Lytechinus pictus: one gene and its partners. The main gene of each other region encodes a partner of the protein of the gene in region 2 in a complex. Links are inferred from orthologs where the notes say so. Each region holds a gene or a part of one and is shown on either strand. Other genes may lie near its edges. The genes, in order: DNA-directed RNA polymerase I subunit RPA12-like, DNA-directed RNA polymerase I subunit RPA2-like, DNA-directed RNA polymerase I subunit RPA49-like and nucleolar transcription factor 1-A-like.

Region 1 (7,598 bases), on a different chromosome or scaffold from region 2:
TAAATAAGGCACTCTCCTAAAAATTATCGGACATCTTAAAAGAATTTACATTACACACATGAGCTCACTTAGCAGAGCAGAGCGGAGGTGTGCAGAGTTGAGCAAATACTGGACTGATATATCCGCTGTTTTTTCTGAGTTCTTTAAAAGAAAATGATTTTTTTTTTGTCCTCCTCCTACACAGACGGAGGGGATGCCGCAGAGCATATCCCTGAAAGAAATAGACTGATTTTTCGGTCTAAGCAAATACATCTGATGTTTATTCATTATAGACTAACATTAGGCCTAGTCCTACTTGGAAAATAAATAGGGCTTCAAGTTATTATGGCTATCACCTAATGGAATTGGCACGTCTTAGCCTAGGTCACTGAAAAACAAATTGTGTCAATAGATGGATCTAACATGATCCCACAACAAATTGGCTTTCCAAAGAATTGTATGGGTGTGTTTTTAGATTTATCGAAGGCATTGGACACTATGGATCATGATAATATTAAACAAGCTTGAGCATTATGGCATTCATGGGGTAGCCTTAAATTGGTTTGAAAATTACTTAAAGAATAGATTACAGTTAAGTAATGATCAATGGAGTTAAATCACAATCTAGGAAGGTGAATTATGGGGTACCCCGAGGTTGATTCTTGGGTCCCTTATTGTTCTTGATTTATATCAATGACATTACAAATTCATCATAGTTGTTTACATATTCACTTTTTGCTGATGACACTTGCTTACTCTCCTATCACAAAGGTATGCATAATCTTATATTGTCGACAGATATTGAAGTTCAAAATATATTTAAATGGTTTTGCTGTAAAAAGCTTTTATTAAACGCTAGTAAAACACAATATGTTGTATTTAGAACAAGGGGTAGAAGAATGCCTGATATATAGATTCATTATCAATAGGTCATCAGAATGATTAGATTAATCATAGTCAAGATGTGCGGTTTCTAGGAGTTGGAGATGATCATTTATCATGGAAAAATCAGGTCAGCAATGTTTGTACCAAGATTTCAGAGTGTTGCCGTGATATATGTTGCGTTTCTTTTTACCCAAACAAACTTTAGTAACTCCATCATTGTGCCTTACTTAATTTATTGTAATGATGCGTGGGGAAATAGGAATCATTTAAACAAACTATACTGATCCTTCAAAAGAAAGTTATCAGACTCATTACATATTTGAATTACAGAAGTCCCTGTATTCCTTTATTTCTGCAGCTCAACATTCTGCCTCTTTATGATTTAATATCCTTGAACTGTTTGATATCCATGTACAAATCACAATCGACTCAAAATTTGTCATTTTTATCAGATGCTTTTGTTGTTAACTCCAGGATTCATACGTATAATACACGTCAGAGAAATCTTATCCATCAACCGTTTGCAAGAACTGCTTTGAATTCATTTGTGATAGCTTGATTAAAGAATGGAACATATTACCACAAAGCATAAGATCCAGTCCAACACTGTAGGTGTAATTGCTAGATCTAGATTTTTAAAATATGGCACTTTTTGTTGACGTAGATGCCGCTCTTAAATGTGATGGTAGACCGCAGCTGGCAGCCGTCTGTTTCGAGGAGTTTTTTAACATTTTTATTTTATTTATTTCTCCTCGTGATTTCCTCGCAATCGTGCAGCCACCATTAGGGGGTTAATAATGCAAAATCCCCCCGATGAGGCTCATCGATTATTGTATTTCATAAAAGTACTGTATATAAAAAGAACTGGACCAAAATAAAGATTATCATTCGGTTTTGGCCTGAAATGCATCAAAACAGGAAAAAATAAACTTTAAAGGGGAAAAAACAGTGACTTACTACGGCTGTCGCGCAACTCCCACTTCCCTTGTTTATCCAAACTTAACACATAAACATTTGAGTGGGCGTTGTGGCGTGCCCCTGTAATCCAAGCTGTGGGGAAGTTACAAATTGATGCAGAGGTTCGGACCTGTGTCACGTATTTCAGATGGTGACGAAAGGTCGGTCCCAGACGTAAATAATCATATCTGATTGATACACGTCTGACAAAACTCAAATACACACACAGTCCCTGTACAAATTGAGTTAAAACTTCGGTCTCTCTACACCCGTATTTCACTCCGTTTCCATCCTCCGGTTATCCTCAAAATTGGTGATTTTGGGTCAGTATCTATTCCCTTACACGTATTATTCACGGCCGATTTAAAAACATCGCATGCGATCGGCCTTGACCTGCGGCCGATCGCGATCGCATGCGATGTTTTTAAATCGGCCGTGAATAATACGTGTAAGGGAATAGATACTGACCCAAAATCACCAATTTTGAGGATAACCGGAGGATGGAAACGGAGTGAAATACGGGTGTAGAGTAAGATATTAAGTTATTCATCTTTCTTGTTATAAAATTTTTTTTTTTTTTTCTTTAATTTTTACGATAAACATGATTACCATCCCCACCTTTGTGACTCAGTATATCCGAACTGGTTCACCGTCTCGAAGTTCGGGTAGGTGGATTGTACTAGTGTAGCGGTAGTGAAGTGGAGACTGCACGAACTTCGCTCGAGGTAGCTGGGCCCATGAATGTTGTTGTTCGTTGTGGGTAGTTTCCAAAACAAGAACAAGCTTCACCGCGCTGATCGCTTCGCTAGACTCTAGAGCTAGTGGGTCGCTATAACAAGCCTAACCCAGAGAGCTCCAGCCCGCTAAGCGGGCGCGGGCCGGAGCTCCCTGGGCGGAGTGCCCCGGCTGCCCGGCAGACGCAGGCAGCCAGCAGATACGTCTTCAGACTCGACTCAGACAGAGCAGCGGGTCAACGTACGTTTGCCGTCTTCAACTTACCTGTAGCATTAGTTTTAAAGTCACAAATTTTACAAAAGACGTCTAATGTGCCACGCTTTGGAAAAGGTAAAACTGTGCCACATTTCGGACAGATTTCCTTGGCAACAGAAAAAGTTGTTCCAGTATCCATCCTTCATCCAATTGATACCGTACCGCGTGGTAATGAAAATATACATCGGATACGAATTTTCACGTTTAATGTGGGCGTGGTCGTAAGGTTAAAGAGATTTGTACTAATATTTAATTAGATCTAGGAGAAACTTTCCCTACAACTCATGGAAACGGAAGGTGAAGAACTCAATCTCTCTTTCTGCTGAGCAAACGAACTACGTACACTAGATGGTGCATCTATCACAAATTCTGGCATGGGAAAACTATCAACCTTAAGAATCTCTACCCCATCTTGGGATCCTCCATCAACCAGGGGCGGATCCAGCTTTCGCCAATAGGGGGGGGGGGGGGGGGACCGAAAAATATTGGTGGGTAGTCCGAACTAAAGACTGAAGTTTTAAGTATATGTTAGTTTTTATTGTTATAAACAAGATATCTCATGTGGTATTAATATATAATGCGAGTGCGAAGCGCGAGCTCAAATTCTTTGATATCTTATGTCCTTAGACCTGAAGATTCTGAGCAGTTTTTGTAATCATGAACAAAGATATGTTCAATTTAACAATGCAATATTATCCAACTAAACAATGCGAGCGCGAAGCGCGAGCCGAAATTTTATTATAGTAACGTGAAAAGGGACTCGATAGTTTTTAGTGATTAATGAAGAGGATACAAGTATCACCAATTAAATAATGAGAGTGTGAAGCGCGAGCTAAAAAATTTTGATATTCCGACCTGAGAACTGGACTGTCTAAGCGCATTTTTATTAAAATAAAGAACAATTAAAGCTGTGTGTCTAAAACAATTAAATGCGTGCGCGAAGCACGAGCTTAATTTTTTGATATACTGACATGATACAGGAGTATTTTTACAAATTTTGGTAAGAATTTCCAAAGAGGATAAGTATCTCACAAATCAAACTATGCAAGCGCGCATAGCGAGCTAAAAATTTTGGTATTAATTAACAATTTGTGTAAATCAAACAAAATAATGAAAGCTTGATGTGCGAGCTAAAATATCGTGTGCAAATTGATTTCAGAACTGGATATATTAAGTGCCATTTAATCCTCTTGAATGGGATTCATTACACAGGCAATGCGAGCGCGAAGCGCCAGCGATTTTTTTATATAAAGTCTATTTTCCAATTCTTCCCCTCACCTTTTTCTTGTTTCCTTTCGGGGTCGGGCCGGCTGTTACGATGCTGTGAATTACACATCATGGGTATAATACCTCTTTCTTACTTTTCTTTCTGTTTTTCATAGTTTCTATCAAGTTGGAGTACATTTTTTCTGCAGGTTGTCAAAAAATAGGGGGGCCGGGGCCGGCTCGGCCCCCTCCTGGATCCGCGCCTGTCAACTATTATCAGACAATCATTAAAGGACAAGTCCACCCCAACAAAACGTTGATTTGGATAAAAAGAGAAAAATCCAACAAGCATAACTCTGAAAATTTCATCAAAATCGGATGTAAAATAAGAAAGTTATGACATTTTAAGGTTTCGCTTAATTTCACAAAACAGTTATAGGCCTATGCACATCCTGGCTGGTATGCAAATGAGGACACTATGATGTCATCCACTCACTTTTTCTTTTGTATTTCATTATATGAAATATGAAATATTCTAATTTTCTCCTCATTAACAAGTGATACAATGATTAATTCCACTCTAAACATATGGAATTAGCATTGTTTGATACGGTTCAGTCAAATTGGTCCTTATTGTTAAATCTATAAAAAATGAAATATTGTAGGCCTATAATTCAAACAATAAAAAACAAAATAAAAATAGTTAGTGATGGACATCATCAACTGACTCACCTAGTTGTGCATATCACCGTTTTGTGAAAAAAAGCGAAACTTTAAAATGTCATAACTTTCCCTTATTTCATATCTGATGTTGATGAATTTTTTAGCACTATTTGACTTTTCTCTATTTATTCAAGTCAGCATTTTCCTGGGGTGGACTTGACCTTTACAGGACAAGTCCACCCCAACAAAAATTTGATTTGAATAAAAAAAGAAAAATTAAACAAGCATAACACTGAAAATTTCATCAAAATTGGATGTAAAATCAGAAAGAAAGTTATGACATTTTAAAGTTTCGCTCATTTTAACAAAACAGTTATATGCACATCCTGCATGGTCGATATGCAAATTAGGAGACTGATGATGTCATCCACTCACTATTTCTTTTGTATTTTATTATATGAGATATGAAATATTCTTATTTTCTCCTGATTGTCAAGTGAAACAACAATTAATTCCTCCCTGAACCGGGCCCTGAACATGTGGAATTAGTATTGTTTAATATATGGTTCAGTCAAGTTGGTCCTAATTGTCACTCATGGACCTGGCCACGGAGGATTATCTATTATGGGGGTGCTGTGACAATACTCAGCACCCCCAATATAAAACAAAAGAAACAGTGAGGGACATCATCGACTGACTCATTTGCATGTTGTGCATATCACTATTTGTGAAAAATAGCGAAACTTTAAATTGTCATAACTTTCCTATTTTACATCCGATTTTGATAAAATTTTCCGCGTTGCTAATTTGATTTATGTCTATTTATTCAAATCATCATTTTTCTGGGGTGGACTTGACCTTTAACCATCAGAGCATGGAGCTATTACAGATAGCTCCATGATCAGAGCACAACTTGTGACATTGATCAACATATCTCACCCGAACTCGGCTCACCCGAACTCAAGAAAGAAACTGATTCGAAATGTCCTCTCTGCCATGATGAGGATACAGTGACTCAGGTTATTGCTGCTTGTCCGTCAACCCTCCATCTATACGCACTGATCTTCTGGCCAAAGTGAGCAAACTCTTACGAGATGCTCTTCAATCCTCTCCAAGAATTAGGCCTACTCTCAACACCCAGGATCCCTTTGAAATTACTTGCGCCATTCTCTTGCCGTATATATTTATGGCCCTTCCCTTCCTCATCCTGAAAATGACTCTTCATTATAATATATAAAATTCATGCCCATAGCCTGTACTCTTCATGCTAACTAATGAGCTAGATTTCATCCATCTATGCTATTGACCGCGATTTATCGCTAATCTCCGAAGAGCGGAGGATCAAAACAGATCGAGAGAGAGAGATATATGTCCCTATGTTCAGGGGCGGATCCAGGATTTTCCAAAGGGGGGGGGGGGCAAACAGTGGCGTAGCTAGGATTTTTTTCCCGGGGGGCACTTGGGGGTCCTTGCTTTTTCAGGGGGGGGGGGGCACCGACCATTTTTCCGGTGTGTGTGTGTGTATGTGTCACAAGGGCGGATCCGACTTTCGCCAATAGGGGACGGGGCCCGAAATTATCTTCACCTATATCAGTCACTTCTTAGTTTTATTCTTATAAAACAACATAAACATGAAATAATCTCATAAGCCTGATAAAAAGTGCGAGCGCGAAGCGCGAGCGATTTTTTTAAAACTTTCTTTTTTTTTAAATTTAATTTTCTGGGCAATGTTATGTGTGATCCTGAACAAGATTCGTATGTAACTAGATGGCTACTGCGAACGCCAAGCGCGAACAGAAATTTTTATCAACTGTTCTAGCATTATCGAAAATGGAACTGTTAAGGACTGCTTACAGTTACCCACGAAGACGGTATATATTTCGATAATGCGAGTGCGAAGCGCGAGCAATTTTTTTTTTTACATTCCGACCTAAAAAATGGCCATTCTAAGCACTTTTTGTATTAATAAATGGGATAGGTATGTAACTAAACAATTGATGCGAGCGCGAAGCGCGAGATCGAGGAAGAAAATTGAGATTTTAGACCTAAAAGCGGGACATTCTATTCATATTTTGTAAATCATAAATAGGATATAGTCAATTGGGTATCATTAATAATGCGATCGTGAAGCGTGAGCAGACAATAAAATTATTGATATTCTGATGTGATACTGGATAATTCAAGTACATGTACATTTTAAATAAAGAACATGCAGGCTATCGCGCGTGTTGTAGACCTAGAATCTGGGCATTCTGAATACATTTGTTTGATGGAACATTATGGAATACACGTAGACAATATGAACTTCGCAAATCGAACAATGTGACCACGCAGCGTGAGCTTAAAATGCTGATATATGTAGACCATAAAACGGACATTTTACTTAAATTTGTAAATGAAAAAAAAATAATGAAAGCTCGATGTCGAGCTAAAATATGTTTTGCATATTGACTTCAAAACTTGCTCCATATCAGCCTATTGAGCAAGATATGAATCTCATCGAACAGGCAATTCTGGCGCGAAGCGCCAGCAAAAATTTCGTATAGTAACATAAAAAAATTTGTTTTTTTAATTACATTATTTCATTCACTCGTCTTCCTCCTCTTATTTTCTTTTTTTCTTCTGTCTTTCTTCTTCTTTTCCTTTTTCTTTTTTTCTTTTCTTCTCCCTTTTTTTCTTTCTTTTTTTTTGCTCTGCCAATTTTTTCTGGGGGGGGGGCACCGGGGGGGCACACCAAATCTCAGGGGGGGGGGGCACGTGCCCCCCAGGCCCCCCCCCCGTAGGTACGCCACTGGGGGCAAAGCTTTTGGAGGAAAATTTTGACACACAAAAAAAAGGTTTTCAACCAAAAACTAATGATATTTCGACCCCGAAGTAAACATTTGACAAGCCCCCAAAAAAAATTTTAATAAATAAAA
Region 2 (6,946 bases):
ACAACTTTAATGAAACGGTCACCCTGAACCTACCTCTGATGGGTAGACTTTAAGAGTAGAAGCAAACAGGTTTCCTCTTGCAATGGTTGGTACACCAATGAATGCATCCTATGAAAAAAAAAACAATCACAAAGAATGAATGTATCCTATGAAAAAAAAAACATAAATAACAATAAAATTAAGAACAGGACATTCACAACATCAGAGCATATTGTGATATACAGGTGACCCAGGGGATAGGAATACTATGGGCCAGAAAGGATAAAGATGAAATTAAAGGGGAATCCAGCCTTGGTCATAAAATGTTGTGTTGGGAAGGAGAAAAATAAATTAAACAGAATGGTGAAAATTTGAAATAAATCGGACAAGAAATAAGAAAGTCATAGCTGCTTTAAAATTGGGATCACTAATAGTATGTAGATTTCAAATTGGCAACTGGGTAAGTAAATTATGACAAGGGGCAAGGACAACCTTCCCATAGGCCATGTACTTTATTATCAGGGATTTGTGGTTTTCTCCTAAGTACCCATTCCCCTGGGGCAGTAATCTAAATATAACCCAGGTAGTATATTGTTAAATGTCCTCATGAAAGAAAAATACAATTTGAAATAAAACTTTGAGGAAAAATGACATTTTAGCCATAATATGTAGTGGAGTACATGGAAGAGTAGTCCTTGCCTTACATCACTATGACATCCCATATGCGGCCAATTTGAAGTCTCCATGAGTATAGTGATTACCAATATTTCCAACTTTGAAAAATTCATAACTTTCTTGTTGTTTGTCCAATATTGTTCAAACTTTCACCTATCAACTTGTCTGACTTTTCTTTTTCTTATAAAAACAAGTTTTTATTTGGGTTGGATTCCCCTTTAAGTTTGGGATGAGGCGGGATTTCATGTGAATTTTAAGGAAAATGTAGAAAGAAGTATTTTTTCACTTTTTTTATATAAGGAATACTTGGGGGTAAAGATGGAGATGAATCATTTTAGAAATTAGAATGAAACAAGATAGCTGAAAATTACTATTAATGGCAATCCATACTTGTGCATATACAGTGTACCAGTATAATGCCCCATTTTCATACTTATATGCAATGGCAATTCCAGAGTAATGTTTTCATGAGTAAAACTCTGTCTCCAACTTTCTCTCATTTAAACTACTCAGCTATTCAGAAACATAAGAACATTGATATCTATCAAGCAAAAGTACAATGTTTACTTTGTTTTTTTAATACTTCATGTGTTATCTTCTTCCACAGTCACTCTGGAATCTTTTGGATCAAATCAAACTTTTCATACTGATAAAAAAAAATTAGATTTCATCATATTATTTGATTTCAAAATACTATTCAAATCTTTTCTAATGATACCTCATATGAAAGTGAAATTCTTTCATCATCCAATAGGAACTCCACTGGATTGATGTTCCTCACTGCCTGTGCTAATCCATCGTCAAGCATGTAATTGAAGGATTCAATGTGAGGGCGCACTGCATCTTCTAGGAGCTGTTTTCACAATGAAAAAAAAAGACAGAATCAAAATCAATTGTAAACACCAGCCATGTATTAACCTCTAACTTCATCAAGGATAAGAAGAACATAATAGTAGCATAGGCCAGGCCTGCAATCACCATCAGTTTTATGAACATGTACATGTACTCATTTCTCAAAATTATCTTAAAAATTCAATATCTTATACTTGTTAAATTTAAGATACATGTACCACAAGGACAAAGTTCATTGACCCCAATTGTGATATGTGACTTGTATACCTGAAACTCAAATGATCAGTAACCATGATTGGTGACACTTAAATATCCTACTCCTAGCTATATGTCCAGGTTTCAAAAAGTTAAACTTTTGACTTGTTGACGATCGACGAGACAAAAATCAGATTTAAAGTCTAGAGTCTCTACATCTTTTGTTCGTGTTAGGTATCTAAATAAGATTTTTCAATTTTTTTAAACATTAACTTCAAGCTCTAACGTTACGCTCTCCTTATTATAAAGATCTAACTTTACAATAGCTTTTGCAAGTAGTAGCACGTGAAAACTTAACCCAGGGAGCTCAAGGATAATAAAATTGCAGGTGATGAAATCATACTTCTTCGTCTCCCTCCTCCGGTGAGTGGAGGAGATTATATTCCGTCAGCTGTAATGTATGTCAGTTATGTCACTGAATCATAACATGGACCTAGACCAAAAGCTTCAGTCTCTGGTATGTTGGTTGTTCCGCTGAACTCCGTTGGCTCCACTCACCAAATACAGAGACTGAAGTTGTAGCTCAATCTGTACAGGGACCCAATTATGGCCATTTATAATAATTAATATTAATATGTTCATGTAATTATTAGTTCGGATAAAACAGGGAAGTGAAGTTGCGCGACAGCCGAGGTAAGTCACTGTGTTTTCCCCTTTTAATTTTATTTTTCCCCGTTTTGGTGCATTTCAGGCCAAAACGGAATATTAATAATCTTTATTTTGCCTTTTTTTAGTTTTGGTACACGTACAGTTCTTTTTATATATTTATGAAATTAAGTCAGACAAAAATCAATGAGCCCCGTCGGGGGGATTTTGCATTGTTAACCCCCTAATGGTGGCTGCACGATAGCGAGCCGTCTGTGTACGAGAAATAAAAAAAAATAAAAATGTTTTTAAAAAACTCCTCGAAACAGACGGCTGCCAGCTGTCTATAACATGGAGCCTAATATCCGCACTCAGGTCGGTTCGCTGTGGCATTGATTTAATGTACACAATATTACAACTTCTCACACTACACCAAATCATGCACACGAAACATTCCTTATTACATGGTAAATTCAAGATTTAAAACGAATGATATATCAACCTTGTTCTGGTACTCTTTCGGTCTCCCATATTCTCCATTTGTTAAGTTACGGTAAGTTGGTGTATCACTCATTTTGACAAATTTTGGGCGACCACCTTACCACATTCACAATTCCATTCGCACTTGCAGTGCACTGCAGTTTTGTTTGGCAAAGCGCAAGTGCATCGACGTTTCGCACATGCGAGATTTTTTTTCGCTGAACCCCCCTTTTTTACATTCAATGTATGTATACTGTGTGCTGTGCGTGCCCAGTTCCAGAGTCATCCAATTATTCATCCTTTCCTGAAAAGTACACGTGTGATTCACTTGCTGCTCGTCTCAACTCCGACTTTTAACAAACTTATCTTGCAAAAATGGGTTTCGGTGATCTTAAAAGCAGCAGTGGGCTCGGTGCCCTTAATGATTTCCTATCAGATCGCAGTTACATTGAAGGGTAATTTTCTTTTTATTTCACAAGATTCAACAACATACGAGGTAGCGTCTAGCGAGGCGTGGCGTGAGCTGACTGAGTCTTAACCCAGGAAGCTCCCGCCCGCGCGGGCGGGAGCTCCCTGGGTTAACTGAGTCTGAGCTGCGTGCTGTGTCTGCCCTGCACTGCCACTGCGATGTTCAAGTTGAGATGGGTACCATAGGCATGATTGGGATATCAAATGTTAATAGTAAATTAGCATACGAAAGTAAACCACAATGGGTTTTTTATTGATAATTATACTGCTGTGTGTGATTGGTTCTGTCAGTAGACAGGTAGATAGAGGCGCTGGTCCAAAAATTGGGATTGTCTCACTCTCACTCAGTCTCAGAAAACAAGGATATCCTCATCATGTCATAACCAAGGCAAGACAAATCATGTCTTGATGAATTGAGATTGTCCTTGTTTATTGGGACAGTTTCTCTTCATTCACTTAGTGACTTTAGCCCTGCGGGACATGGACAGCAATTCTCGCTACCCCAAATAGGAACAAAAATCTCATAATGCGCGAGACGAGATTATTTTCACTCCGTCGGGTCGTCATCACCACTTCCGGTTCAGAGTCATGCTCGCGCGAGGTTCGCGATACTGAGTTTTCCACCACGCTGAAATCGATGCCAATCAGCGATATGTACAGATTATAATACTTTTTATCTAATTTGGTCAGTTTTGATTCCATTTGAATTATAAATAAAAATAAAAAATATATTTCATGTGAAAATAGTTTTTATTCATGTTTTTATTTGGTTATAAAAAATTAAACAAAAAATGAGTATCTTAAAATTTCGCATTTAGCGACCGGCCTGACATCACGATCGTATTCGACTAGACGCTTAATATATAGCCTACAGCATTCATTCCGTTCAATTTTTCGTCGACCACAAAATGGATAAAAAAAAAATCAGTTTTGGAACTTTAAAAAATCTTAACTGACAGAGGAATACCGTGCAATGGAAAGCGTCAGGCAGAATTAGTGACTTTAGCAGAAAAGGCCGTTAAACTGTATCGTGAAAGAGAGGGTTGTGATCACGAACTTTCCGAGCGAAAGCGACGTTGTGTTGTTGTGCATGACGGCACTGTTGATCTGAATGGCAAAACAGTGCATTGGACTTCCGAACAGGAAGTTTTAATACCGAAAAGCTATCCCATAATGCAATGCGCGTTACAGGGATTTTTCCCGGATCTCGGCAAAATCGCTATTTGGGGTAGCGATAATTGCGGGATTGAGAGTGCTAAAAATAGATTAAGTGACCTCAATTCCCCCAGTTCACCGTCTATGGACTATGTCTATGACTATAATCTATATTTCATGACTTTCTGTCTTCCATTTCCAATAATCTTGTTATGAAACCTGATGATATGTTTACATTACATTGACTAGTGCACTGGATTGATGTCACAAGAAATCTAACTTAGGAAAGTTCATTCACCTGTGAAGTGCCGACATCAATCGGCACTTCACAGGTGAATGAACTTTCCTACGTTAGATTTCTTGTGTGGAGAAATCTTTGAAAACTGAGACAGTCCCTGTAAACTGGGACGATCCCAATTTTCTGACCAGCACCTCTGTCATATCACCTTCATTTTGTGAAAACTCACACAATTTTCTTATTTCACATCCATTTTTGATAATAAAAATTTTGGTGTGTGATTTTTCTTTTGTTTTTATTTTATTCAAGTCATCTTTCAGGTTTTAGTTGTTTATTTCCTGTCTAAGTGGGGTGTCTGAAGCCACACTGAAAAGTGTCAGCATAAGACAGGCTGATTTAGGGGAAAATATGGCACACTTTTTTCAGGAAATTCAGGCTGCTAAAAAAATGTGATCTGAATTGATTATTAACTTTTGTTTGGCATGTATTGAAAGAAAATTCAGGGGCTTCTTTTGACAGTAAGGACAAGTTTATAGGATTATTTGAAATAAGGATTTAGAGATAAATTGCAAACCCTTATTTGTCTGTGTGTTGAGATTGTTATTTCCCCATGCATTTTCTATGGGAAAATGAAATTTCTGTTTTGCACAAATTTTTTCACTTTGTCGCAATTCTTCATTGTGATCTGGTTTCCAAATCTTTATAAAAATCATACCATCGGAAAGAGCATAAAAATTCCTACTAGACACTTTATGGACAAGTTTTTGGCATTAATAATAAATTTATAACAGCTCTCGGAAGCTAAAAATTAGGATTTGTGTGTGTCCATTTCTTAACTACACAGTAATATGGCAGGGAAATGCTGAAAATTGACCTAATTTCATTCTTCTTTTTTGCAGCCAATAATTGGATTTTTTCAAAAAATATTACATTTCTATCAGTCTGAAGGTTTTTTCTCTTCAAATTCACAAAGAAAATGTGATATTTCCTTGAAATAAGAAAAAAAAATTCTCCAGACACCCTAGTCTAAGATTAAATCAACATACATGTAGCCTATTGTAGGCCTACATAAAAAGAATGTGATTGTTTTTTATGTGTTTTTTTAGAAAACAATTATTTTATTCCGCTCTGAGCGCCTTGAGCATCTAATTAAGATCAACATGGAAAGTGCGCTATACAAATCTTGAATTACTATTAGATAGGGCAAAAAAAAATGAAACGGCATTTCTACTAAAAAGCGTTACCTTTATTATATATTCTTTATTAGCATTATATTGTCAAAGACATTGCTCAAAACTGACCATGAAATTTCCTACTAAATAGTTAGAAATAAGGCTTAAATGCGCCATAAAATGTGTCTGGAAATGCATACATACAGCATTTTGGCCCATCCCCAGGCCATAGGCTATACTTTGTGGGCTAGTGGCTGAAAATAGGCATTTTTAAGTCTTTATAGACTGTTTGAGCCTCTGTGAGGAGCCATGGAAACATGTCACATTACTTGGCTGCCAGAAAATGTTGCCACATTTAACTACATTGTTCACTCAAAATATAGAATGAAAATTTGAGGCAAGTTCACCTATTGACTTTTTGACACATGTCTACAGCACAAATCTGGTGCCACCCTAGTATTATTTTATTTTTAGAACCTACTTTGAATTAAAAGGGTTATTTTTATTGTGAGTTGCATCTAGACTCAATCAACGTACAATGTAGCTTGTGGTTACAGATTTTGTTACTACCCTCATGAAAAAAAAAACCTTTATGTATTTATAGTATACACACCCGAATGAATGAAAAGAATTTACATCAGTTTACCTTTAGTTACTTTTCTCTTCCAATTTCAGGTACACTGTATCCCAGGCTGATGTTGTCGTTTTCAAAGCACTGACTGGGGGCCCAGCAGCAGACCTCTTCAACGCACTCAGATGGTACAATCAAGTCAAGTCGTATTCTTCCACATTTACTAGGTGTGTGTAATTTATCTTTTTTTCCTTATGAATGTACAGTAAATGGGGCTAATGCATCAATGGCAGCCAAAAAAAAACAGTTATTTTCAGGGGCTCCTTTTTGCAAATTATTGCCCAATAAATCTGCTACATTGGATTTTTTTACATTGCAATGAAGAAGGATTTTCCAGGGCCCCTTATTCAAGTTTCCAGGGTCATTTTTAGCATAAATCGGAACAAAATCTTCTTCTTCACTCGTAAGTACAGGCCACTGTAATGCCGCCGCGCACAGAAAAATCAAGCCATAGAA
Region 3 (7,340 bases), on a different chromosome or scaffold from region 2:
CCTCTCGATCCCTGTATCGATTTTGACTTGATAGGGGCCTATACCTGATGGAATTAGCTTCATTCAATATAAAACCAAGACCACACTCAAGAAACGATTCTACGGGCACAGATCCACCGTCAACACAGCAAAGCTGGACACTCCAGTTGGCCGCCATTTTAACCTCCCCAACCACTCCATCACTGACATGATGCTACAGGGCATCGAATCTTTAGGTACCCGTCCTGACTCAGTCCGTACTAGCAGGGAGAAGCTCTGGATGAGACGACTTCGCACCACCCAACCTCATGGCCTGAACATCCAAGAGGGGAACGACTGATTTTTCTTTCCTATCCACTTTCAATTTATATATACATATAATTTTTCCCCTCAGCTCTTTTGAATAGTTACATTATAGTTTCTTACTCTACTTTCCTCCCATATCTCATACAAGCTCAGCTCCAATTTTTCCTTCCTTATTCAGGCGATATAATAATTATTATATATATATATATATATTTGTTTTTTCTCCACTCACCTCTTTTAGATTTACCACATTTGCTTATTTACATGTATACTATGGTTTCTTCATAATACACCCCCTCTCTTCTATATTTGCTTTTACCTTTTTAGGCAATTTGCTTCCTCTTTTTCACATATACAGATTTTTTTTTCTTTCCTACTATATAGTCTTATGTTTTTTCCCGTCACACCTAGCGGATTACCATATCAGTTACACCATATGTGTATATATTTATATATTTTTTCATATACATTTCTTTTTTGGATATATTTATATACATATCACTTATAGATACATATTTACACTTACCTTCTTCTCTTAGTTTGTTTAATGCTTTATCATATATAATTATATGTCTTTTGCACATTATCAGTTGTTCCCCATTCTTTTTCTTCTTTTTTCCCCCCACTCTTATGCACCAGTTTATTAAGCCTTTCTTTGTAACCTGTTTGACCCACCTCTCACTAATTCTCTAGTTATTCATCCCTCTATCACTGTTTTGTTCCAGATCCTGTTTGATGTTGCCTGCCTCATTATCTTAATCCCTCTTGGCCTTACTTACACTAACTTCCCTTTGTGTCTGCCTACTCCTTTTTTTTCATCCCCTTCACTAACCTGATTGGTCTTCTCTACTCACTAATGCCCCTTTTGTCTCCTTGTTTCTAGTGTTGCTGTAGCTTGTTTGTGGTCTATATTATGGTTGTTCCACTTTATATGTTTGTCATTTTGCCTCCGACGAAGATTCTGCTAGGATCGAAAGCTTAGGCCCCTCTTTGACTTTATAATATAAAATCATAACGGATAGAACGCCTTGAGTACAGGCCAAACAGCCTAACGACATTGCCGTGTCACGTGACAACCAGTATTAAACGAGAATGTGCACAAGGCTATGGTGACAAAATTTGCCGCAAAAGTTGAGCAAGTTCTGGACAAAAAGGCTTCAATTCAATACCCCAAGAAAAGACCAGGCGCGAGTACTATAGGTCCTAGCACTCTAGGCGACACCCCAATACTTACCCGTGCTAATAAAGTGGGACTCCGCTCACGCGCGTTTGGGCCTCCCTAGCTTAGAACTAAGCAATATTATCTAGAAATTGTTACATTGTAGTAATTAAATATGTTCTATTAAATAAATTGATAATGTTTAATCGGTACTCACCGGTTCTTTTGTTGCATTTTCAGACCATTTCTCACAATTCTTCGTAAATATTTGCGGCAAATTTTGTCGCCATAGACAGCTATACGTCCATCTTTATTAATAAATGGAGCGCCCTTTACGATAGTTGTTAATGCCGCGAAGAAATCGTTAGGCATTTTGGCCTGTGTTCAAGGCGTTCTTTCTGTTTTATTTTTTATATTGAAGATTGGGCATTTGTTGAATAGCGCCGTCTACGTCAGGTATGAGATCGAGTGTATAAATACACTCTTCCAAAATAATTATGATTCCGACCTGGCGCTGTTTAACTTCAATCTCTTTCACCTAAATTAGCGATGAATGCTAGCATTATAAAATATATATTATTAACGTCTGACGAAAAGAATAACCAACCGATCAGCTGACGAGAACGCGAATCACGTGATCTTCATATCAGCTTCGATCGCGAGTCAGAAGAGAAGAGCAGTTGCCCAGAAAATCAGGAAAAAGCCGTGAAAATATAAGTTCCCCTTCATTTCTTTCAATTTTTTTTATTGCTAACAATGTATTCAATTAGTGAGATCGAAATGTAATGATTAGACAGTACGATAGCTTGTAGTTTTGATAAAATACAAAAATAATCATCTTCACAAAGATTTCTGACACAAAATACTACTGATGTCGCCTATGAGGTCCATACATGTAATGTTGGACCTCATTGGTAGTGGTACTACTAGGAGTGGGTCCTACTCACTCCTAGTCCTAGTACATTTTTTCAATTTAGTAATATCTAGAGTCTAATTTAAGAACAGATTTCGTCATGGAGCTCCATGGTAAGATCTAGTAATTTAAGTCCAACATTTAATTCGCGTGCACTCACTTTTTTAACACAGGAATTAATAGCCTTGGTGCTTAGAGTGCAGTGGACCTGGGCCCCACGCCACGGAACCGCGATGCAGTAGGCCCTACACTACAGCATAATCAATACATGGGTCTAATATAAAGCAAAGACTCCGCGACTTCTTCAGTCCAGATCAGCTTGATTCTTCACTTCAGAGTAATAGAAAGTCTGTAAATATTCTATTAACCCTAGATCTACGTGCTCTACATGACCGCATCTTATTGTTTGTATAATTTGTTTAATGAGATGAAAAATAACGAACCTAGAGTTGGTTTCTCCTGATCACTTGAAATAAATGAACATGTGGCCATCATTTTCGTCTTCGAATAAAATTAATTCAACCCAGGTACTTCGGCGATTGCGCAACACCAAAATCTTGAAGCAGTATGGTGTCTCCGATTTGGAAAATGAAATATTAAAATTTCTATACAGGGAGCCTCGATAGCTGAGATGACGAATTGAGTGATGGTTGGTATCATTTCCTAGGGGACCAATGTAGATAATGTAACAAAGAAAATAACCCTCCAACTACACCCCCACTTGATGCCAGATGGTGGGAATTTTTATGTTGTTGTTGCTACACACTCTCGGATGCTGGGCCCACGCCGGGGCCCAAGGATGGCCCCCAGGGCCCTGGGAACTTCATCTTATGTTGGTTTGAGTGGCGATAAGTCACATTAGACTATTGTCGCCATCGACTTATTTTTTATTTAGAAAATCTTACTTCTCATATAATGATATTTATTACCAATATGATGTATACATTATGAAATATTTTTCTTGTGCATCCTTCTAATATGAAAAAAAAAATCATTATAGTATTTACAAAAGTTTTTCATAACTCTTGTCAAAATGGCAATGATTTTTTTAACTAGGGGTGCTGATGCTTATTTGAAAAGAAAAAACAACAAGGTTTTCATTACAAAACGAGGTCATTTTGACCCAAAGAAATTTGAAAAGCAAAAAATAAAAAATAAAATAAAATGAAAAATAAACAAGTAGGTTTTACTAAAAAACAAAGGAAAATTTTGGTTACAATTTTTTATTATTTTTACACACCTTCCAGCATATATGGGGTGCTGCACCTATAGATAATAATAAAGTGGCACCCCAAGGAAAATATTGGGGGTGCTTCATCCCGCTTCCCAGGGCCATGGTGACCCCCGGCCGCCCTCTCCTCATGGGTTCGGCCCAAGAAATCGCTAGGTATATTGGGTACAAAGATATTTCCGAATGGGGATCTCTTTCAGTTCCCAATTGACTTTAAGTTTAGACAAGGGTGCAATATACTTTTCAAAATTATATGATGTAAAACTGAGCCTTATTTGGCCATATATCATGGGCCGCGCCAGGATATTTTGCTAGGAGATTTCGGGAAGGGATTCTAGGGTCGTCTAAAATGACATTATCTCAATAAAAAATAAGTAGGCGTCAAAGATATCTACACAAAAGCACTTATCATTCCGTTTTCTTCCTTATCCTTCCTGCGTCTCGTAATAGTTTAGATGGCGCATAATAAATGCTTTGTTCATTTTTCCTCCTTTTGTTTTTTCTTCAGTTTTCCCCCTTCCTCAATTAATCATTTGAAGAATCGAAGGGGCGATTACCCTCCGATTCCATTAGGAACCCGACTCCCCCCCTATATACCCCGGACCAAAAAAAATCTCACAAAATCGCATGGTTTAGGGGACTTGGCGAATTTAATCCATCCATCAAGCAATCAATAGTTACAAGCCATCGCCCCGTCTCTTTCCTCATCCTTGTCGCTTTGATCATCATAATGCTTCCACCTTCTTCCACTGTGAGAGTCAAGCCGAGCGTATAGTAGGCTGGGGGAGGGGTGCACCAGTGGCGTACCTAGGATTTTCCACAGGGGGGGGGGCAAAACCGTCCGCCCAAAAATTTGACAAGCAAAAAAAAAAAAAAAAAAAAAAAAGGTCTTCAAGCTCGTCAGGGGGGCAATAAAGGTCTTCAAGCTCGTCAGGGGGGGGGGGGGGCAAAAAAAGGTCTTTCAAGCTCGTCAGGGGGGCAGGGGTACGTCCTTTGCATGGGTTGTGGCTCGTCAGGGGGGCAGACTGCCCCCCCCCCGTAGGTACGCTAGTGGGGTGCACCCTCTCGCTGAGGCAGAAGAGTTCCGACACTGGCAAACAAAACGAAATTTGCACCCTTTCTTCGGCTTTAAACAGCTGATTTTCAAAACCTTATAGTTCCGCCTCCCCAAGATGTGCATCCCCCATACCACTAAAGTTCCACCTCCCATGATGCTCAAACCAGCATACGCCCTTAATTGTTTCTTTCCATTCGGGTATAATGACCATATTACATATACGGGGAAAAAAGCAAGACGATATCGATAACAGAGTCCATAAATGATGGCAAAGTATCAATGGGCATAATATAATGCGATTTTTAATGCAGATCAGTCTCTAAAATGTGTATTATATAGTTGAACCATATGGCACTGGGAAGCGTGCGTGATTTTTTTTAGTGGTGCTGCGTATGCTTTGCATCCACTGGGCAGCACCCCCTGGAAATATAATCGGTATGCTAAACTGTATTGACCTAAATCACCTTCATTTTTCTGCGTTTTGTTGTTGTTGTTGTTGCCATTTTGCTTGTTCAAACTTTGACTGACCAAAATCACCCCTTTTAAAGTTTTTTGAGCGAAAACCCCCCTTTTTCCAATTATTTTTTTTCCAAACGAGCACCCCTCTTGAAAAAAAACTCGTTCCCATGCTACTGAGTCGAACACCTCATAGGTCTATAGAAAATTGAAATCAACATCGAAAGATATAGACTAGATCAATGATCATGACCTCATGAGAGAAAATAAACACAGTCTCTAGTAATAAGCTAATATTGTTCTATAATATTTATATTTCCAATCAGGTGACACATTAATTTTGCTTATCTGCAAAATTATCACCTTGATATCAAAACACCGATAGGAACACAACCCCGTTCCTATATAAGATCGTAGGACATTTCCAAATTCTTCCATTGTCCAAACAATTGTTCACTTTGCTTAAAATCATTTAAGAAGAAAATACAATTTTGTTGTAGTTTATTACCTCCCGCCCCCAGAAGAAAATGTGGAAGAAAAAAGTAACGACATTTTATACCTTCAGTGACCTTGGAAGCACTTGAGCCGCCATCACAATTGGTTCATCGTGGTAAAGAGAACCTTCCGACATGTTCGATGCAACGATCATGGGAATGTTTGTTTAAATATAATCAATTTTGTAATCATGAAAGACTTTGTCTATTCATGGCTGTTGACGTAATTGGTCATGTTGGTAGAGATATAGGGCCTAAATATTATTGTAAAGACCACTGGCGTAAATCCCGGGGGGGGGGGGGTGGGGGGATATATCCCCCCCACTTTTCGAGGAGGGGGGATGGCCTGTACAAACATCCCCCCACTTTTCACGAAAGAAATGAAAAAAAAATCACAAGAGATAATTGTTTTATTGGTGAAAATTCTTCCTGAAATACCGCTTAACAAATAAAACAATATTATTGAATCATAAAGTGCAAATAAAGAGCCAGTTCACCATTTCCAAACGAAATACTTATGTCCTTATTATAACATTGAAGAGGAACTCCCGTTTCTTAAATTCGTCAATGTTGGGGTCTTTGGGAAGGGATTAAGATACAATGTCAATTCTTTTTTAATGTATTCTCTAATAAAACCATTAAACCATCATGGGTTAAAAAAGATAATAATATTGGAGGGGTTTTTGCCATATGGCGTAACTACGGGGGGGGGGGGCATGGGGGGCACGTGCCCCCCCCCCAATTGGCTGACCAAAAAAAATGGGGAAAATGAGAAAAGAGGGAGAAAGTAAGAGAAGCGTATAGTGAGAAAGAAGAAAATATTATTCATTATAATGTTATATTATAATTATGTTATGTTACATTACATAAGAAACATTTTTATCATAACTTCATGAAACATAATTTGCCCAGGGCCTACTTATTCATTGTTCCTGGTGCTTGCATTGTCTGTTAACGAGATATATAATCCTGTTGTACTGAAACATCCCGTTTTCAAGTCAATATAAACCAAATATATTTCCTAGCACTTGAGTTATCATTGTTTTATGTAGTGACATTTGCTTCTTTTTCATGACTCAAAAAGTGATTTCCCCATGTTAAGGTCTTCGTATATATGAAACATTTCCTGTCCGTGATTACGTTCGCATTAGTGGATTGGTGTGATATGTCTGCTCTTCATGAATTCTTAAAATCAGTCCTTAAAATGTCCCTTCTTCTGATCTGAATATCAAAAATTTTCAGCTCGCGCTTCGCGCTCGCATCATTTGGATATTGAAATACGTATGGTCCTAGTTAATTCCTACAAAGAAACCTTAGAATGCCCCACTTCAGGTCTGAATTATATAAATTTTCAGCTCGCGCTTCGCGCTCGCAATATTTGATTAGTGAAGATGCGTATGATAATCATGATTGCAATGACTACAAAAAGTGTTTCATGAGTTCAGATGTAATTTTTATAAACCAGCAAGCGCTTGGCACTCGCATTAGATGACTATGGTGAGATATGCATACTCTTAATGGATTCCTAAAATATATTCCTCAAAATCTCGCTGTTTGGGGTCAAAATATACGAAAAATTCAGCTCGCGCTTCGCGCTCGTATTGTTTAGCGAGACAGGTACCTATCATGATTACACAAATTTGATTATAATGTCTCTTTTTAGGTGTGAATATAAAGAAAATTCAGCTCTCGCTTCGCGCTCGCATTATTTGATCAGTGAGATACATATCCGTTTAATGACATTG
Region 4 (6,968 bases), on a different chromosome or scaffold from region 2:
GGGCATATAAAAAAAAGTTCAGGAAAAGTTATATTACTAGGTATGAAGCTTAGATTAGGCGGGAGATTAGAACATTATTTTTCAAACATTGTTATGATTTTAAAATGATAAAAAAATCCCCTAAAATAACAATACAGTCTACATCTACCTTTAGCTTAAAACATTTTATTTGTAGTAACATCTTTAAAAATCAATTTCAGAACAAAACTAGAAATTTGATGTGTCCAGAGGACACAGATGCCCCTGCTTAACATGATCAGAAATTCATTCAATATGATTGAACTTAATATTGTGCAAAAAAAAAATTGGAAAAAAATAATGAACAAATTTAGACCTTTGACCTGAAGACTCACCCTTTCCATAATAATCTCTCACAGAAGATATGACAGTCAGGTCATTTGATGTGACCTATCTTTTGGTGTCATCTACCCAGACACGTAACATTTTTAATATCTGGTGAATATTTCCAAAGTTATCATGAGGAAACCAACTCGCATATATAATGAGCTGTGACCTATTGAATTGAATTGGTATGGTTTATTGAAAGAAAAAAAATCAAACAGGCAGCTCACAGGCTGAAAATGTTCAATTTACAAGCAAAAAATCAACAGATATAGTATAATTATACAACGGTAGAGATAAAACATAAATTGAATTAACATTGATAAAATGTCAAATGCAATTGATAGAAATGACAATAAATTGATTCGAACATAGCCTGTATTTTGGTGTCATCTACCTACACACCCTAATTTTTTAAAAATCTGTTGAATACTTCATAAGGTGGAAACAAACTTGCATATTTAATGAGCTGTGACCTTTGACCTGCGGACTCAGAATTCAAACTTAGCCTGGCTGTATTTTGGTGTCATCTACCTACACACCAAATTTTTTAAAAATCCATTAAATACTTTTTGAGTTATTGCGCAGAAACCAAGTGGGGGACGGACGGACGGGGGCAATGCTTAATGCCCCTCCAGACTTCGTCTGCGGGGGCATAAAAAAGTAAAGGAAAAGTGATATTACTAGGTCTCTGCCAAACTTTGTTCAGGTGAGACAAAAAATGAAGCTTAGATTAGGCAGGAGATTAGAACATTATTTTTCAAACATCGTTATGATTTTACAATGAAAAAAAATCCCCCAAAATAACAATACAGTCTACATTTACCTTTAGCTTAAAAGCAACATCTTTAAAAATAAATTTCTAAAACAAAACCACAAAAGACAAAGTAAATTGGACATGTTGAATGAATTATTTTATTCTAGACTAAGCCTAGATCTTTATTTCAATTATTATGACATAATTTAACCCCCCCCCAAAAAAAAAACATCAAGTTTATATATCATGATGATGATCTGTATTTAAAAAAGGGGGAGGCCAAAATTCAAGTAGATCTAATGATCACTCCAGTGATGCATTTGAAGTTTGAATTGAAGCAAAGCAATAGAATTGAAGTTGATTGTAGTTTCTACCTCAGTTAGACCCTGCTCAAAGAATAAATAATGGTTTTGCCCACAAAACGGGGGGTTGACTGCCAGAACGGTACCACAACGCACCGCCCGACGACGGAGGAGGAGCCGATGAATGAATGGGCAGTACAGGGTCTACTGACCACAAAATATTTCTTACTGGTCACTTCCAACAAACAATGTCAAAACCTAACGAATAGAGCACTACAAAATCGCTCCAACAATACCTAAAATCTTAACTAGCGATAGTATTCGAGAGTCAAAGGCAAAGCTGAAAGTAAACATTCTGAAAATGAGAACATTCGCGAACAACGTCACGTACCGGTATGAGAAAATACCACACGACATTCACAAGGATATTCTGTTCACGTCATAGCCGCGCCATCGCACGAGAGTAAGCCCCGCCCGCCCGGGGGCTGCTACTCCCTGGCATTGAAAATAAGAACGGCAGCGACATGGCTGACAAACAAGCTCGTTCGATAATGCGGCGACCATGCCGCAGCACTGCGGGCTTTTCAGCTCAGCCCGTTACACAGGGATGCCCGGGAATTTGATCAAGTCACGGGTTTCACGACTCGCCAGCGTGGGGCGACGTCCGCGCCGCTACACACGCGGCGTGCGTCAATCAAACTTGCTGGCTCATTAACAAATTCATGGAAGAACATCAATATTTGCAAGTCTTAATCTCAACATGCTCAAAATATTAAGAAACAGCAACAATTACTGATGGATACATAACTACCATAGATATGATTAGAATATAAACAAATTGTAATTTCTGATAAAATTAACAGAAAACGGTCTATTTCCATACCGGAACTTCGACGCACAAAAGCTGATGAGCGGATTCCTATGCTAACATACCCGAGACTTACCCGGCCATCTTGATTGCTGAATCGGCTAATAAAATCGCATATAACATAAAAATGACGAAATATTTCTAAGAGGGAATGTAGCGAAAATGACCTCACAAATATGAACTACAATCTGGTAATAATGAAGTAAATATATTTCACAAACACACGCAAAAATACGGAATTAAAATGTCCACTTACTTTCAGCGTCCATGATGGCTGTCTCTAGAACTTCTTGATTCGCCCCAACGCTCTCGGGTCCCGACCCGCTTCCTCCGCGCCCGCTATCCAGCGCGGTGTCTATCGGCTGCATAGGCGCCAGGATCATCACGGTACGCACCGAGAACAAAAAATAGTACCCTTGAAAAAATTATATAATAACAAATCTAATGAGTGTTTATGACTTTGGGTAGTTATTGACTTAATTAATTCCACATCACTGATTTCACACACAAAGATCTTCGGCTGGCAGAGTTCAATATTTAATTTTGATCCCCTCGGCTAGCTTTACTCACGTGGACTATATTAATTAGGCCGCTATCTACAACCTCGTTCACGAATATTGTTTTGATTTATATTTAAAACACGGCATGCACAACGCAGCCCGTCAACTAATGTTTCAATCGGAGTGACCAAGGATGACACTCTTGTTTACGAAATCGATCAGTAAACACGCAACGACCAATAGAATCTCAAAGATTTACATAAATTATCATAAATCATTCAAGCGAATGTGACGTACACAAGATCGCGCATTTACATCGTTTGTCGTTGATAAGCAGCCGCACCACCGCCTAACCATCAGGCAGGCGTCAGGCTAGGCCAGGCGGGCAAACCATGAGACTCGTGATATCTGCCCGCCTCAACTGCCCGCGCCAAAAATCGAGGGAGTGCGATAAGAGGTCAACCAACGTCATGTCATACGAGCAGCAGGGTCGTCTGCTACGCACCCTAAATGGAAAACGTTGTCAGAATTTACCGTAGAGATCTAACTTACTATATGCTTAACGTTAGTTATTTCTAAATCCTACGTAGGACGGTCTGGTACATGTTTAACTTTTTTCAGTTCTGAAATAAAACATGCTAATTCCCTTACATAAAAAAAACCTCCATTCAGTTGAGCTGCGCTTGTGAGGAGCGCATCGCATCATGCAGCTAGCCTGCACTGTCGATGTCGAGCTGTCCCACTCCCAGCTGGTGCCTACTTCAGTACTGTACGTATACAGGCATGCAGCTGCAGTGACAGTGCAGAACCAACAATACACTAACAGTTCGAGCACTGTACGGTATCCCCTGACCCTTGGACAGGAGCGCGAGCGAGCAGGGAGCGCCCTTGGACTTGTTGTAGTGGCGAAAGGGAGGAGGGACCCATCTTAGCTTTCCTGGGAATGGGCACGGCTTGGCCTTGCCAGGCGGACCGCCTGGCCCTGGACGTCGGACTGACTGATGATCGCCGGCCTAAGCCGAGGCTAAGTAAGGGCTTAAGCAGAAGAAGGCAAGACATTTCACGATAACTGCCTGGATAATAAATAAGATAAGATATCTAAATTGTGAAGTGTGATCTAAAAACTTCTGGAGTTTTGCTGGACAAGGACATGAAGAACTCTGGAACTGGAAGTGAGATGAAGGAGGTTAACTTCTCTTTGTTGAAGCAGGATGAGGATTCTGATGATCTCCTTTATGACTCTGTCAATTCTCTTGAAATTGATCAACTGAATCTATCAGGTATGCTCTAACTTTTTTCAAGAATATGTTAACAATAACATTTTTTATGCTACATCTGAATGGCTTGTGCCATCACACTGGGTTATCGCGTCGGGTCGGGCAATCGCGAAACATGACCATGCGAGGAAACTGCCCCATTCGAGAAAAGGGCCCCCTAACTTTCCGAAAGGTTCGGTCCAATTTACCCGATGTTTTGTGAAAACTGAAAACTTTTTGAATGGTTGGGTATTTATATGTACTTGGGTTTAAACTGACCCGACATTTCAGGAATTTAAGGGGGCCTTTATTGAATGGTTGGGTATACTTGATTGCCTGACCCGATGCGATAACCCAATGTGATGGCCCCAGGGGACCGGGGGACCACTTCCATTGACAAGTGGATACCCCTTCCATTGACAAGTGGATACCCTGCGCGACCATGTCCATGGTGTCTCGAAAAGCACCCTATAGAAGTTTTAGAAGTTGTGATTAGCTTTGCAATTGATACCATTGGAAAGAGGAACTCTTCCAGCTCTCAGAAAACTTTGAATTTTGAAAATTGACCCAATGATTTGTTAGTTATGCCCAATTATGTTTCGGCAATTGGACATGATATACCAAAGGTCAAAGGTCAAAGGTCATTCTTTTATTTTACTTTGTTGTGAGAATGGCACCATGAAAAACATGACATGTTTTCAAACTTGTGTTATTCCCATGTTTTTTGTATTACAGGTATGAAACTTGGCAGGATGCTAGTAGATTTTGCTTTGATGTATTTTTTTGCATGCCCAGGTCAAAAAACCAGTTAAGGACCAGTTCATCCAACTGGTACTGGTACCAGTTGATTCCAGTTAGCGAACTGGATTCAATATGGAAATTGGAATACTGGAATCAACTGGAATCCAGTTGACAAATTGTAACTGGTACCAGTTGGAAATACCAGTTGGCAACTGGTCCTAACTGGTACCAGTTAGCAACTGGTACCAGTTGACAACTGGTCCTAACTGGTACCAGTTAGGACCAGTTGGAAACATGAGTTGTCAACTGGTGCCAGTTAAAACCAGTTGGAAACACCAATTGTAAACTGGTGCCAGTTAGGACCAGTTGGAAACATGAGTTGTCAACTGGTGCCAGTTAAAACCAGTTGGAAACACAAATTGTCAACTGGTGCCAGTTAGAAACATGAGGTGTCAACTGGTGCCAGTTAAAACCAGTTGGAAACACCAATTGTCAACTGGTGCCAGTTAGGACCAGTTGGAAACATGAGTTGTCAACTGGTGCCAGTTAAAACCAGTTGGAAACACCAGTTGTCAACTGGTGCCAGTTAGAACAAGTTGGAAGCACCAGTTAGGACCAGTTGGAAACATAAATTGTCAAGTGGTACCAGTTAGAAACACCCTGCAATGTATAGCATAAACAAAAATGAATCATGTGGATATGTACATTCCCGATCTTTTACTCTTCTCATATAATCACTCCTTCGTTTTCCTTGCGCACACACACATTAGAATATTGGTACCAACACCCCCCCCCCCCCTCTCAGGCGGTTATTTCAATTATAAATTATCTTCAATTATCTTTACATTGAATGTCCACTCCTGTTATAACAATGTGCATGGACAAGTGAAATAATTATTCTTGCACATAGGACTGATGAAATGAATCAAGGTAAATTTGTAGCATTGTATTGAAACCTTGTTAATTTCCACATGCACAATATAACAGGATTGGACTGTAAACTTGCTCTGGTAAATCAATCCCTCAGTCTCTTGAAATCTGTACCAAAAATCATCAGAGAATGACAAAAGTCACAAAAAACATATATATGGTATTTAAACTAGGAATTTAATGAAAGAAAATTATGTTACAAACTGTAACATGCTGTGTATAATTCTTGTATTATGTGTCAACAAAGATCATTAACTTACACAGTAAATATGTAGTCAATCCAATTTTTACATGCTAGCTTGGAGACAAAATTTGAATATAATGCATCTAAGCATTTACCTTCAATAAATAATATGTACTATTTTTAAAGGAATGATAAAGGAGTCTTTTTTTAATTATTATTTATTGAGATCTTGGGGCCCTCACTGGCTCTGAAGAGGAAACGTGAAACAGGTACCTTCCTTTCCTGTAGTGGCACTTGATCTTTGCTGGTAGATGCGATGTATCTGAAGATTAGAAAAAAAAACAATGGAATGAAAAATAATAAGTACAGTGAATACCGTAATACAAAATTTCAGTGGTGTAAAATTATATCTGCACATAAAGAAAATACATGGGATAGTGAAACTTCTCTAAGTTCCATATTTCAATGATTCAATTATAAATGATAGACAGCACATCATCATTTTTATTACAACATGTATAGTAAGTTCACATGGTCTTGGGAATACTTCTGAAATTGACATCGCAGAGATGAAATTGCCTCGACCTTATACCTATACATTTATTTTAATAATAAAGACTTAGACTATGTATGTTTGCATATATGTATCTAGGAGTCTATGTTGCACATTATCTGCTAACATCTGATGGGTATTTCATGATTGTCAGTGCCGACTATTTCAGTGAAATCATTGCTTTTGATTGGCTGAGAAGCACTGGCCTCTGACTGTTACTATGGTAACTGTCGGAAAAAGACAACTTGTTAATGCTGACAACTTTCAAAAAGCAGTTCCCAGAACAAGTTTAAAAAGCAAAATGATGAAAATTTCATCAAAATAGGATAACAAGAAGTTATTGAATTTTAAAGTTTATCAATATTTTGTGAAAACAGTTGTATGCACTTCGTCATGAATATTCATTAGGTGGGCTGATGTCACATCTCCACTTTCCTTTTTTTTATGTTACTAGATGAAATCATAAATGTTTGATTTTTTCATACATGTGTAAATGATGCGTCTCCATTGTAATGAAATAAGTTGCGTCAATAAC

Evidence for each region.
Region 1: DNA-directed RNA polymerase I subunit RPA2-like (region 2) and DNA-directed RNA polymerase I subunit RPA12-like share a complex: the UniProt entries of both Homo sapiens proteins name them as parts of the pol I pre-initiation complex. The link is inferred for Lytechinus pictus from reciprocal best matches to the Homo sapiens genes POLR1B and POLR1H.
Region 3: the proteins of DNA-directed RNA polymerase I subunit RPA2-like (region 2) and DNA-directed RNA polymerase I subunit RPA49-like are in contact, whole or in part, in a cryo-EM structure (PDB 8A43), measured with the Homo sapiens proteins. The link is inferred for Lytechinus pictus from reciprocal best matches to the Homo sapiens genes POLR1B and POLR1E. Residues at the interface, in NP_061887.2 of Homo sapiens: Lys254, Ser258, Phe259, Ser260, Tyr262, Gln263, Gln266, Ser295, Thr296, Gln297, Ser338, Thr340, Glu341, Ala532, Cys535, Pro541, Ile542, Asp543, Gly544; in NP_071935.1 of Homo sapiens: Gln27, Ser29, Asn30, Gly31, Tyr69, Thr76, Leu79, Lys80, Cys81, Leu84, Cys85, Met109, Gln110, Pro111, Leu112, Phe113.
Region 4: DNA-directed RNA polymerase I subunit RPA2-like (region 2) and nucleolar transcription factor 1-A-like share a complex: the UniProt entries of both Homo sapiens proteins name them as parts of the pol I pre-initiation complex. The link is inferred for Lytechinus pictus from reciprocal best matches to the Homo sapiens genes POLR1B and UBTF.

Annotation. Positions count from the first base shown.
Region 1 is NC_087259.1:27,112,589-27,120,186, forward strand, and holds the start of DNA-directed RNA polymerase I subunit RPA12-like, read right to left. Parts: upstream 3,004-7,598; 5' UTR 2,951-3,003; coding exon 2,821-2,950; exon of another isoform or gene 2,741-2,820; intron 1-2,740. UniProt on the Homo sapiens protein: Core component of RNA polymerase I (Pol I), a DNA-dependent RNA polymerase which synthesizes ribosomal RNA precursors using the four ribonucleoside triphosphates as substrates. Can mediate Pol I proofreading of the nascent RNA transcript.
Region 2 is NC_087257.1:11,052,447-11,059,392, forward strand, and holds the start of DNA-directed RNA polymerase I subunit RPA2-like, read right to left. Parts: upstream 3,012-6,946; 5' UTR 2,921-3,011; coding exon 2,849-2,920; intron 1,508-2,848; coding exon 1,373-1,507; intron 109-1,372; coding exon 34-108; intron 1-33. Other genes in the region: elongation factor 1-beta-like, read left to right, coding at 3,202-3,281, 6,535-6,657. UniProt on the Homo sapiens protein: Catalytic core component of RNA polymerase I (Pol I), a DNA-dependent RNA polymerase which synthesizes ribosomal RNA precursors using the four ribonucleoside triphosphates as substrates.
Region 3 is NC_087245.1:24,112,263-24,119,602, reverse strand, and holds the start of DNA-directed RNA polymerase I subunit RPA49-like, read right to left. Parts: upstream 3,021-7,340; 5' UTR 2,853-3,020; coding exon 2,801-2,852; intron 1-2,800. UniProt on the Homo sapiens protein: Component of RNA polymerase I (Pol I), a DNA-dependent RNA polymerase which synthesizes ribosomal RNA precursors using the four ribonucleoside triphosphates as substrates.
Region 4 is NC_087245.1:35,362,844-35,369,811, forward strand, and holds the start of nucleolar transcription factor 1-A-like, read right to left. Parts: upstream 3,011-6,968; 5' UTR 2,653-3,010; coding exon 2,526-2,652; intron 2,003-2,525; exon of another isoform or gene 1,793-2,002; intron 1-1,792. UniProt on the Homo sapiens protein: Recognizes the ribosomal RNA gene promoter and activates transcription mediated by RNA polymerase I (Pol I) through cooperative interactions with the transcription factor SL1/TIF-IB complex.